Linked DNA regions of Callithrix jacchus. The protein of the gene in region 1 binds, or shares a complex with, the protein of each later gene. Links are inferred from orthologs where the notes say so. Each region holds a gene or a part of one and is shown in the gene's direction. Other genes may lie near its edges. The genes, in order: NR0B2, NR5A2 and NR5A1.

Region 1 (4,367 bases):
TGGGCCAGTGGGTCCAGGGGAACAAACAAGGACTTTGGAGTCCGGCAAGATCTGGGCTTTGTCTCTTCCTGGTCGGATGACCTTGGGCAAGTCACTTAAACTCTTTTAGTCTCACAAAGTAAGAATCTAGCCTTAGGGGGAAGCTCCCAATATTAGAGTGGGAAGGACTTGACACATAATAGCTGCTCAGTGAATGGCAACCATATATATATATATATATATTTTTTTTTTTTTTTTTTTTTTTTTGAGACAGGGTCTTGCTCTGTCACCCAGGCTAGAGTGCAGTGTCATGATCTCAGTTCACTGCAGCCTCCGCCTCCCGGGTTTGAGTGATTCTTTTGCCTTAGCCTCTGGAGTAGCTGTGACTACAGGCACGAGCCTCCATGCCCAGCTAATTTTTGTATTTTTAGTAGAGACGGGATCCTGCCATGTTGGTCAGGCTGGTCTCAAACTCCTGACCTCAGGTGATCTGCCCACCCCAGCCTCTCAAAGTGCTGGGATTACAGGCATGAGCCACCATGTCCAGCCAGCTACCATCTTTAATTATAATTCTGTAAATTCTTCTCTGCAGATCTGCCCTTTCAGGAGTGGTAGGAATCAGGCCAGGTGCAGTGGCTCACGCCTGTAATCCCAGCACTTTGGGAGGCTGAGGTGGGTGGATCACCTGAGGTCGGAAGCTCCAGACCAGCCTGACCAACATGGAGAAACCCCATCTCTACTAAAAATACAAAAGATCAGCCAGGCGAGGTGGTGCATGCCTGTAATCCCAGCTACTCAGGAGGCTGAGGCAGGAGAATCGCTTGAACCCAGGAGGTGGAGGTTGCGGTGAGCCGAGATCGTGCCATTGCACTCCAGCCTGGGCAACAAGACCGAAACTCCGTCTCAAAAAAATATATAGGAGTGGTAGTAATCAGGTTGGGTATAGGGGTTCCTGCATGGGGCCCAGAACTGGAATCAGAGGAAGGGGGCCTCCTAGACTGGAAAGCGGGCAAAGTCCTCCCAGCCCCTCAGGGTCCTGGCTCCCTTCCCTGCAGCCTGCTCCTGGCCGACAACAGAAGCAGGGCCCCAAGGTTAGGCAAACAAGCTAGTGATAAGGGACTTCCAGGTTGGGCCTTGCATTCAAGGCTCACCCAGCTCTGGGGCTGGCTTCCTGGCTTAGTGAAAGCCCTGATCTTTTGTACACACAGGAGCGGCCACCAATGGGGACACCTGCTGATTGTGCACCTGGGGCCTTGGTGCCCTGGTACAGCCTGGGTTAATGACCTTGTTTATCCACTTGAGTCATCCGATAATCAGCAGCTGAGTGAGCGGCAGGTAGCCCTGTGCCCTGCACCGGCCACTTCATTGACTGAAATGATATCAGCGCCACGTGGGGTTCCCAAACCCCTCCCCCACCACTTCCCCACCAGTCCTGCCAGGGGCAGTGTCTGTGTGTTTTTTTCAATGAACATGACTTCTGGAGTCAAGGTTGTCAGGCCATTCCTCCTTTTCCACTCACTGGGAATATAAATAGCACCTACAGCACAGAACAGAGGATCAGAGAGCTGGAAGTAAGAGCAGATCCCCAACCATGAGCACCAGCCAGCCAGGGGCCTGCCCATGCCAGGGAGCTGCAAGCCGCCCAGCTATTCTCTACACACTTCTGAGCTCCAGCCTCAGGGCTGTCCCCCAGCCCCGTAGTAGCTGCCTGTGTAGGCAGCACCGGCCTGTCCAGCTATGTGCGCCTTATCGCACCTGCCGGGAGGCCTTGGATGTTCTGGCCAAGACAGTGGCCTTCCTCAGGAACCTGCCATCCTTCTGCCAGCTGCCTCCCCAGGACAAGCGGCAGCTGCTGCAGGGTGGCTGGGGCCCCCTCTTTCTGCTTGGGTTGGCCCAAGACGCTGTGACCTTTGAGGTGGCTGAGGCCCCGGTGCCCAGTATACTTAAGAAGATTCTGCTGGAGGATCCCAGCAGCAGTGGGGGCAGTGGCCAGCTGCCGGACAGACCCCAGCCCTCGCTGGCTGCCGTGCAGTGGCTTCAATGCTGTCTGGAATCCTTCTGGAGCCTGGAGCTGAGCCCCAAGGAATATGCCTGCCTAAAAGGGACCATCCTCTTCAACCCTGGTGAGCTCCCAGGCACTTCTGGGGTGGGGGACCAAGGCTGAAGCAGGGGCCAGCCAGGGAAGTAACTTTTAACTTCTAAGGATTTGATATTTGTTATCTCATTGGGTCCTCATTTCCTTCCTTCCTTCCTTCCTTCCTTCCTTCCTTCCTTCCTTCCTTCCTTCCTTCCTTCCTTCCTTCTTTCTTTTTCTGAGACAGAGTCTCACTCTGTTGCCCAGGCTGGAGTGCCGTGGCATGATCTTGGCTCACTGCAACCTCTGCCTCAGCCTCCTGAGTAGCTGGGATTTACAGGCGTCCACCACCATGCCTGGCTAATTTTTGTATTTTTTAGTTGATATGGGGTTTTGACATGTTGCTCAAGCTGGTCTTAAACTCCTGACCCCTCAGGTGATCTACCCGCCTCAGCCTCCCAAAGTGTTGGGATTACAGGTGTGAGCCACCCTACCTGGCTTGGTCCTCATTTTCATCAAATAGCCATCTCACAGAAGAGGCACAGAAAAGCTAAGTGACTAGCTGAAGGTTACACAGCCAGGTAGGGACAGACTAGGATGGCAACTCAGGTCTAGTCACTCCAGAGACTGGCCCTTGTCACTCTGCCTGAGAAACTTGCTCTAACCGTTTTTTGAGACAGAGTCTCACTCTGTTGCTCAGGCTGAAGTGCAGTGGACCAGTCTCAGCTCACCACAATCTCCACCTCCCAGGTTCAAGCAATTCTTCTGCCTCAGCCTCCCAAGTAGCTGGGATTACAGGCGTGCGCCACCAGACCCAGCTAATTTTGTATTTTTAGTAGAGACAGGGTTTCTCTATGTTGATCAGGCTGGTCTCAAACTCCCGACCTCAAGTGATTCGTCCACCTCGGTCTCCCAAAGTGCTGGGATTACAGGCGTGAGCCACCATGCCCAGCCAGAAGTCTGATTCTTAACCATTATTCCATGCTGCCTCTTCATAAATAAATGGATAACTAAAATGAAAATAAATAAATTACCTCCTCCACAGGAGGCAGTAAATCCTGCCCTGACCAGACCAGCCCCACCCCCTTCACCACCACAGTTTGGATTCTTCTCACAGGGGCCAAGTTAATTATTGCTCAAGAAGAGGCCATTCACTTGGGGATAATAGTCTAGGAGTTATCATTCAGGCCATTCTCTAAACCCCCCAGGTTAGAACTATAGCTGATTGGCCTTGTACCCATTATTGTGACCCAGTGCCAGCAGCAAGGGGAACCCTCTCCCTTACCCAGTCTCTCACTCACAAGTCAGACACCAGATAGAGACAGAAACACAGCTGAGACACAAATACAAACCACACAACTCGGACCCCCACCCCCACACACACTAAGATGTACAACTCAGGCACATGTACACGGACCCATGAAACAGACTCTCTATCTTAGAGAAGTCTGAGAGAAAGAAATAGAGAAAGAAATGATAACAAATACTTAGAAAAAGAAATGATAATGATGCTCTCTATAAAAAATACATATATATAAAATTAAAAATAAAATAATAAAAATTAAAAGACTCTCTATCCACCCACTCACAGCCCAGAAAAGCACTGCCTAGATACAGTCACTCAGCAATGTACTGCAGATCCTGACACATTCACACGACAGACCTCAAAGGCCGAGCAGAGGAGGCAGAGGGGTGTCTCTGATGGCTCAGATCTGGGGCCAGTCTTGTCCTTTGGTGGCTGGGAATAGGTTACTCACCAGTCCTCTTCTCCCTCTCTGCCCACAGATTTGCCAGGCCTCCACGCCTCCTCCCACATTGAGCACCTGCAGCAGGAGGCTCACTGGGCGCTATATGATGTCCTGGAGCCCTGGTGCCCAGCAGCCCAAGGCCGTCTGGCCCGTGTCCTCCTCATGGCCTCCACCCTCAAGTCCATTCCAACCAGCCTGCTTGAGGACCTCTTCTTTCGCCCTATCATTGGAGATGTTGACATCGCTGGCCTTCTTGGGGACATGCTTTTGCTGAGGTGACCTGCTCCAGCCCAGGCGGAGATCAGGAGGGCAGAGGCTGGTAGTGCTGATTCAGCCTGGACATCCCCAGAGGTGACCCAGTGCTCCTGGAGGGGGCAAGGCTGTATAGACAGCCAGCCACACCCCACATTGGACTTCCTTCATTTGGACACAGTGCTCCAGCTGCCTGGCAGGCTCTTGGTGGTCCCCACAGCTTCTGGGCCGAGACTCCTGTCCTTTCTTGGGATGGGAATGAAAGCTTAGGCTGCTCATTGGACCAGAAGTCCTACCAACTTTATACAGAACTG
Region 2 (3,645 bases), on another chromosome or scaffold:
ATATATATTTTAGAGAGTTCCCAATACTGAATATTCCGTTGGCAGTCACTGGAGTGTACCAGATGGTTCATTAGCATAGGCTAGACAAGTCAAAGACTTTCAGAATCATTTAGAAAATGTCAGACCGAAACAAGAATCCTGTCACTTTTTATTAGAATTAACTACATCATACCCTGGACACAGATTTCACCTTGGGTCAGAAAAATTAATACGGAATTATATGAATTGTGTAATATACTGGGTTAAGATAAGTCTTTCTCCAGGGACTCATTTGCTGGCAATATATTAAGATCCCTCTACTTTAGGAATCCTCAAACCTTTCCTTTTGTAAGATATGAAAAGAGTTGACCTTGCTCAAAATCCATTGGTGTCTAATTGATTTGAGGTATATGCAGAATATTCAACAAGACATTCTTCTAAAGCTCTTTTGTGATCCTTTTCCCAGGAAGCTTGGTGAGTGGGGTTTACTGAATATTCAGCAGCATGTAAAGTATGCTTTATGTCAAAAGGAAAATATATCCATTAATTGAACCCATTGCTTTAGTAAACAGGAATTAAAATGCTATTGAAATGTTGCTTTCTTTTTTTTAATGCAGATGTCAAAAACCTTGAAAACTTTCAGCTGGTAGAAGGTGTCCAGGAACAAGTCAATGCCGCCCTTCTGGACTACACAATGTGCAACTACCCGCAGCAGACAGAGAAATTTGGACAGCTACTTCTCCGACTACCCGAAATCCGAGCCATCAGCATGCAGGCCGAAGAATACCTCTACTACAAGCACCTGAATGGGGATGTGCCCTATAATAACCTTCTCATTGAAATGTTGCATGCAAAAAGAGCCTAAGTTACAACCCCTAGGAGCTCTGCTTTCAAAACGAACAGAGATTGGAGGGAGTGGGGAGGGGGAAGAAGAACAGGAAGAAGAAAAGTACTCTGAACTGCTCCAAGCAACACTAATTAAAAACTTGGTTTAAAGATATTGAATTTAAAAAGGCATAATAATCAAATACTTAATAGCAAATAAATGATGTATCAGGGTATTTGTATTGCAAACTGTGAATCAAAGGCTTCACAACCCCAGAGGATTCCACATACAAGACATTGTAATGGAGTGGATTGAACTCACAGATGGATACCAACACGGTCAGAATAAAAATGGACAGAACAATTCTTGTATATTTAAACTGATCTCCGCTATGAAGAAATTTAGGAACTAATCTTATTCATTAGGCTTATACAGTGGGGGATTTGAGCTTACAGGATTCCTCCATGGTAAAGCTGAACTGAAACAATTCTCAAGAAGCATCAGCTGAACCTACGATAGCCCCTCCTCTTCCCTTGAAGGCCCCAGCACCTCTGCCCTGTGGTCACTGAATCTGTACGGGGGACCCGTGTTCAGCCACACCCAGTAGTAGCTCCACCAAATCATGAACAGCCTAATTTTGAATGTCTGTGTCTTAGACCTGCAAACAGCTAATAAGAAATTCTATTAATATGTTAGCTTGCCATTTTAAATATGTTCTGAGGTTTGTTTTGTCATGTGTTCATGGTGTTAAGAAAATGCAGGCAGTATCCCTCTTCTATCTTATATAAGTGTTAATTAATATTAAGGGAAATGACTACAAACTATTAAAGCAAATGCTCCATAGCTAAAGCAACTTAGACCTTATTTCTGCTACTGTTGCTGACATGTGACTTTGGCATTGTTGGATTTCATAAAAAAAATTCTGGCAGGAAGTCTTGTTAGGATACGTCAGTCTTTTTCATCCTCTAAGTTTGTAGTTCATTTAAAAATAAAACATTAAACATATTTTGCTGGGACGTCACATAGTTACAGTTCTAAGTACTTGGAAGCAAAATTGACGCATGTTAATCTATGCAAAGAGAAAGAAAAGGATGAGGTGATGTATTGACTCAAGGTTTATTCTTACTGCAAGTGAACAACCTCAAAACTTGGGATGGAAACGATGATTTTTACATGTGGCTGGAAAGATATTAAAGTAATTCAAATCTTCCCCACAGGGGAAAGGAAGAGAGTGATACTGACCTAAGTCATAGGCCAAAGTCCGCTGTAGAACAAATATTGGAGGACAAAGAATCACAAATTCTCCAAACGACTATTATCAGTATTATTAACATGCGATGCCACAGGTATGAAAGTCTTGCCTTATTTCACAATTCTAAAAGGTAGCTGTGCAGATGAGGATCAACATTTGTTTAAAATAAAGTATTAATACTTTAAAGTCAAATAAAATATAGTGTTTACATTCTTTAGGTCCTGAGGGGCAGGGGGATCTGTGATATAACAAAATAGCAAAAGCAGTTATTTCCTTAATGTTATTTTTCTGATTGGTAATTATTTTTAACAGTACTTAATTATTCTATGTCGTGAGACACTAAAATCAAAAATGGAAATTTCATTTAGACTTTAATTATTTTGAGATTATCGGCGGCACAATCACTTGTAGAAACTGTAAAAAATAGAAGTATCTCCTAGTCTCTTAATTTTTTCATAAATGTTTCTGGCTTTTGAATAGTGTATTTATATTGTATATCATAGTTTCAACCGTAGACAATTATGATGCTAATTTATTGTTTCTTGGTTTCACCTTTGTATAAGATATAACCAAGACTGAAGAAACCAAATATATGTGTTTACTGTAGCATGTCTTCAAGTTAGTGGAACTTAGTTCAGGGACATAGAAGAGTCTTAATGAATTAAAGTCATTCACTTGATGAAATGTCTGTAAATCTTCATAATTCTTACTGTAGTTTATTTAATATCTATTGTAAATTATGTGACTTGTATCTTCCTCTGGTTTTCAAGTAAACAACAAGGTGGAGTCTTACCTGGTTTTCCTTTCCAAGCATTGTAAGTTGTATACCAAAGATATTAGTTATTGCTTCTGTGTGTACAAAGAGGATTATTTTATTACTTTTATTAATCACCTCTAACTACTCATCCACATGAAGGGTACACGTTAGCGAAGCTGGGCGTTGACTCATGCACAGTCCCAGTCACCCGTGTTAGCTTCATGGCTCAAAGGACAATGCAACATCACCAATCAGAGCTCACACCCAAAGTGTTATAGAGAACAGCAGCATCGTCGCCCTCCCCAGCTGAAAAACAAGTTGGCTAGAAGACACGTGAAGAGCAATGGTGTTGTCAACAGTTGATGAAACAGTTCTATCATGCATGTGTAACATGGGTGGAGACAGTTATGAGATTTGACTATAACTATTTGGAAGGCCTTTAACCTTGCCAAAAACCCAAAAACATTGATTTTTATTTTATATTTTAAGAGGTGGGATCTTGACCTCACATGTTGCCCAGGCTGGCCTTGAACTCTTGGGCTCAAGCATTCCTCCCGCCTCAGCCTTCCCAATAGCTGGGACTACAGGTGCATGCCAGCATGCCTGGCCACATTGACTCTTAAAATCTATGTTTTCTTATTTTAAAGATATTTCCCACTGAAAATTAAACCTAAAAAAACGTCACAAATTGGCATGTTGTTAACCTGGTAGATTAAATCATGAGACTGGTTAGAAAGCTCGGCAGCACAGAGGGTGACATCCACACTACTGATCACACCAGCCACAGGAGCTGATAAGCTGAAACGCATCACAGCCAGCGTCTGTTCACCT
Region 3 (3,645 bases), on another chromosome or scaffold:
GGAGAGGGCAAGCCTGACCCTCTGCCCCTGCCCACAGCCGTGCGTGCTGACCGTATGCGGGGTGGCCGGAACAAGTTTGGGCCGATGTACAAGCGGGATCGGGCCCTGAAACAGCAGAAGAAGGCACAGATTCGGGCCAATGGCTTCAAGCTGGAGACGGGGCCCCCAATGGGGGTGCCCCCACCACCCCCTCCTGCGCCGGACTACGCGCTGCCTCCCAGCCTGCATGTGCCTGAGCCCAAGGGCCTGGCCTCTGGCCCCCCTGCTGGGCCGATGGGCGACTTTGGGGCCCCAGCACTGCCCATGGCCGTGCCCGGTGCCCATGGGCCACTGGCTGGCTACCTCTACCCTGCCTTTCCTGGCCGTGCCATCAAGTCTGAGTACCCAGAGCCTTACGCTAGCCCACCCCAGCCTGGGCTGCCATATGGCTACCCAGAGCCCTTCTCTGGAGGGCCCAGTGTGCCCGAGCTTATCCTGCAGCTGCTGCAGCTGGAGCCGGATGAGGACCAGGTGCGGGCTCGCATCCTGGGCTGCCTGCAGGAGCCCACCAAAGGCCGCCCTGACCAGCCGGCGGCATTCGGCCTCCTGTGCAGAATGGCTGACCAGACCTTCATCTCCATCGTGGACTGGGCACGCAGGTGCATGGTATTCAAGGAGCTGGAGGTGAGTCTCTCCTCCCGCCTGGCTGGCCTTGCATCATTGTCCTCCCGGCTGCCCAAGCCTTAGACCGACTGTCCTTCAGATGGGGCCCTCCTACCCACTGGCTTCAGGCAGTCCACCCTGGAACACTGAGGAGCATTTCTGCTCTCTCACAGCCTGGTGGGTCCTGGCTCCCTCCCGTTCCTTCTCCTTGAGCCCCTCGAGCCTCTGCTGCTTTGGTCCCTGCACCTGTCTCTTCCTACTGTCTCTCTCCCTGGCGTGCTGTCTCTCCGCTTCTCAGCGTCTCTGCAGCCCCTTCAGTCTCTGAGGTTCCCTGTTCTGAGGCTCTTTTAGTACACATTTCCCTCGTTCTCTGAGGCCCTGGGCTCCCTCAAAGGACTAGCGGAGTCCTGGGGAGACTGTCTTGTCTCCCAAGGCTTCAGCCCAGTGTTAGGAAAAGGGTCTGGCCCATCCTGTCCTCCCATTTAGGGAGGCTGCCCATCCTTGCCGCCTCCAGCGGCACACACAGATGGGACTCTTAGTGTTTTGGAGTCTGGGACATTCGTGGTTCCTTCTTCCCAGCTGAGGTGAAAGATCCTCCTGCCTCTGCAAATCTTGTTTATGCTGGATGGTGGGGTGTGTGTGTGTGGTGTGTTCAGGGAGCTAGGTGGGTAGGTTGGTGGCTTCCAGGGCCTGCCACTGATCTTCCCTGGCAAGGCAGCCTACCCCCTGGGTTGAGGTACCTGAAGCTACAAAATCAGGAAAGCGGCAGGAGAAACTGAGGCTTGACATAGGAAAGAACTTCCCGTCTTCCACCTAGTGGCTTGAAGAGCCCGAGGCCCCAGAGCTGACCCTCCAGTGCCCTGGCTCTCTGAGACCTCCCCAGAGGCCCCTCCAGCTGGCCAAGGCCTGCCCCGCCCTGGCCTGGGTTTAGGCACTCTGTAACCCAGGCTATCGGTGTTTGGCTTTCCCAGGCTGCCCCCCTGGCTGTTCTGGGGCTGGGTGTAAACAGCAGGGCCCGTTGCCCCCCCTGCTGGGGCCACTGCAGCCTTGAGCAGCATTGTCGGTGTGGCGCCACTCGGGCCTGGGCTTCCTCCAGGGGCATGAGGCCGGATGGGCTGGGGGCGCTGCCTGCCCTGGCTGGCGTGGAGGGGGATGAAGGTGGGGCGTGGGTGCTCCGAGCCCTAGCGGTGGTGTCGTGGGACTGGGGCCTGGGCTGTCGGGGAGGTGGGGATCAGTGGTGGTGGCTACTGCTCCCTCTGTGGAGGCCCCTCATGCTGAGGCCTGGGGCTGCACCATGTGTCTGTCTGTCATGGGGTGGGTTTCTCACCACTGCCCCCTCTCTGGCCTGACCTAATGGATGGGGTCAAAGGCAGGCTCTTGAACATGAGGCCATGGTGGGGATGAGGACCTCAAGTGCTAGGGATTGGTTGCCAGCTTCCCTTCAGATTCCCCATGTAGCCCCTGTGCAGCGGGGAGGAGGAGCAGGGCATTCCCGGCCTTCCAGAACCCTGGGCTCAGGGGCAGGGCACTTCCTCTGGCTGCCTTCCTAGTCTCCCGGGGATTTTCACGCAGGATGGGAAGGGCTGTTGTCCCAGCTTTGCTGAGTGTTTTTTCCTGCTTCTGGCTCCTCTGTGGTTCAAACCTTCCTGCTTCCCCTTCCCAAAGTCTGAATTGAGCCCAGGATTATAAGCGGTGGTCACCAGCCTCTGTAAAGGGGCCTTGCAGATAAGTACCAGCCCAGCCCTTAGAGTGCCTCCTGTCAGCCACGTGGAAGTTCTTTTCCACTGGTCCAGTGGGCCCTGGGCTAGTGTCTCTTTGCAAAGCCCAGAGGTGGTGAGGAGGCAAAGTGGGAGGGGTGTGTGTGACTCTGGCATCCCTTCTGGCTGATCATTCATTTCCCCACCTCCGGACAGGACACATCTTAGCAGACAGAAGAGGGGGCTCTCTGGCTCTGAGGGTGGAGCAGCCCTTGGGTTGGGCACTAGGGACATTAAATCAGCTGAACCCAGGAAGCTGGCCGCCTGGAGGAGACATCAGACATGCACCTAGTTGCCAGTGAAGGTGCCCCGGGCTCTGAGAGCCACTGAAGGAGCAGAGGGAGCCCTTGGGGGAGAGCAAACAGCTCTAACTGAGGGATTCAGAGACGAGTTCTGTGCCTTTCTGGAAAGTAGAGAAGATTCAGGATGTCCCAGGCAGTGGGCACAGCATAGACTAAGGCCCCGAAATGCGGATCAGGTCCTGGGAGTTCCCAGTGGGCCCAGGAAGTGGGATCGGAGAGGTTGGCAAGGTCAGAGCAGAGCTGGGACCAGGAGTGGGTCCTTGGGCAGAGGTTGATGGATGGCCTGCCTGGGCTGGCTGGGGCTCCAGGTTCTGGGTCAGGGAGGGGCTCCCCCAGCAGCGCCTGAGCTCGGAGCAGAGGCCCACTCAGCCCTCTGATGCTGATGGCATCTTGCTGCTCAAGAGGCATCCCGGAGTCTCAGCTGAGCTCTCAGGGGGGCCGTGAGCCCAGATATGTCTGATTCTGGGCTGCAGATGTCCTCTTGGGGTCTTCCTCTCCTAACTTCTTTCTCAGCTGGGTTGGGGGTCCCTCTGTCTCCATTTTTTCACCTCACACAATCCCAGCACGTCAGCTGACAGTGGCACAGAAGTGAATGTCAAAGACTAGAATCAGAGAGGCCTGTTGTCAAGTGCCAGCATGTCGATTACATGCTGTATGATTTGGGCAAGTGACTTCACTCTCTGGGCCTCACTTTCCTCATCTTGATAATGGGAGGAGGTGGAATAGTGTCAACCCTGTAGGGTTGCTATAAGGGGTTAGTGAGCCAGGACAGGGGAAGAACTGACCGTAGGCAGGGCAAGCTTAGGAAGTGGGGCTGCAGCACCCTTCCTATCTCTTCCCCTCTGAGCTTCACCATTTAATTGACGCCTGCAGGCTATGTCCTGACCAGGAAGACAGCAGGGAGAGAGACACTGTTCCCAAGCTCCTCTGAGCACATGATTATT

What was found.
Region 2: the proteins of NR0B2 (region 1) and NR5A2 are in contact, whole or in part, in a crystal structure (PDB 1YUC), measured with the Homo sapiens proteins. The link is inferred for Callithrix jacchus from reciprocal best matches to the Homo sapiens genes NR0B2 and NR5A2. Residues at the interface, in NP_068804.1 of Homo sapiens: Arg17, Pro18, Ala19, Ile20, Leu21, Tyr22, Leu24, Leu25, Ser26, Ser27, Ser28; in NP_995582.1 of Homo sapiens: Phe354, Val357, Arg361, Phe366, Val371, Asp372, Gln374, Met375, Leu378, Gln379, Asn529, Asn530, Leu531, Glu534, Met535.
Region 3: the proteins of NR0B2 (region 1) and NR5A1 are in contact, whole or in part, in a crystal structure (PDB 1YMT), measured with the Mus musculus proteins. The link is inferred for Callithrix jacchus from reciprocal best matches to the Homo sapiens genes NR0B2 and NR5A1. Residues at the interface, in NP_035980.1 of Mus musculus: Thr19, Ile20, Leu21, Tyr22, Leu24, Leu25, Ser26; in NP_001303616.1 of Mus musculus: Ile275, Val278, Arg282, Phe287, Val292, Gln295, Met296, Leu299, Gln300, Asn450, Leu452, Glu455, Met456.

The regions. Positions count from the first base shown.
Region 1 is NC_133508.1:63,565,115-63,569,481, reverse strand, and holds the start of NR0B2 (nuclear receptor subfamily 0 group B member 2), read left to right. Parts: upstream 1-1,533; 5' UTR 1,534-1,570; coding exon 1,571-2,102; intron 2,103-3,838; coding exon 3,839-4,080; 3' UTR 4,081-4,367. UniProt on the Homo sapiens protein: Transcriptional regulator that acts as a negative regulator of receptor-dependent signaling pathways. Specifically inhibits transactivation of the nuclear receptor with which it interacts.
Region 2 is NC_133520.1:27,180,662-27,184,306, forward strand, and holds part of NR5A2 (nuclear receptor subfamily 5 group A member 2), read left to right. Parts: intron 1-596; coding exon 597-844; 3' UTR 845-3,645. UniProt on the Homo sapiens protein: Orphan nuclear receptor that binds DNA as a monomer to the 5'-TCAAGGCCA-3' sequence and controls expression of target genes: regulates key biological processes, such as early embryonic development, cholesterol and bile acid synthesis pathways, as well as liver and pancreas morphogenesis.
Region 3 is NC_133502.1:173,113,712-173,117,356, reverse strand, and holds part of NR5A1 (steroidogenic factor 1), read left to right. Parts: intron 1-37; coding exon 38-663; intron 664-3,645. UniProt on the Homo sapiens protein: Transcriptional activator. Essential for sexual differentiation and formation of the primary steroidogenic tissues. Binds to the Ad4 site found in the promoter region of steroidogenic P450 genes such as CYP11A, CYP11B and CYP21B.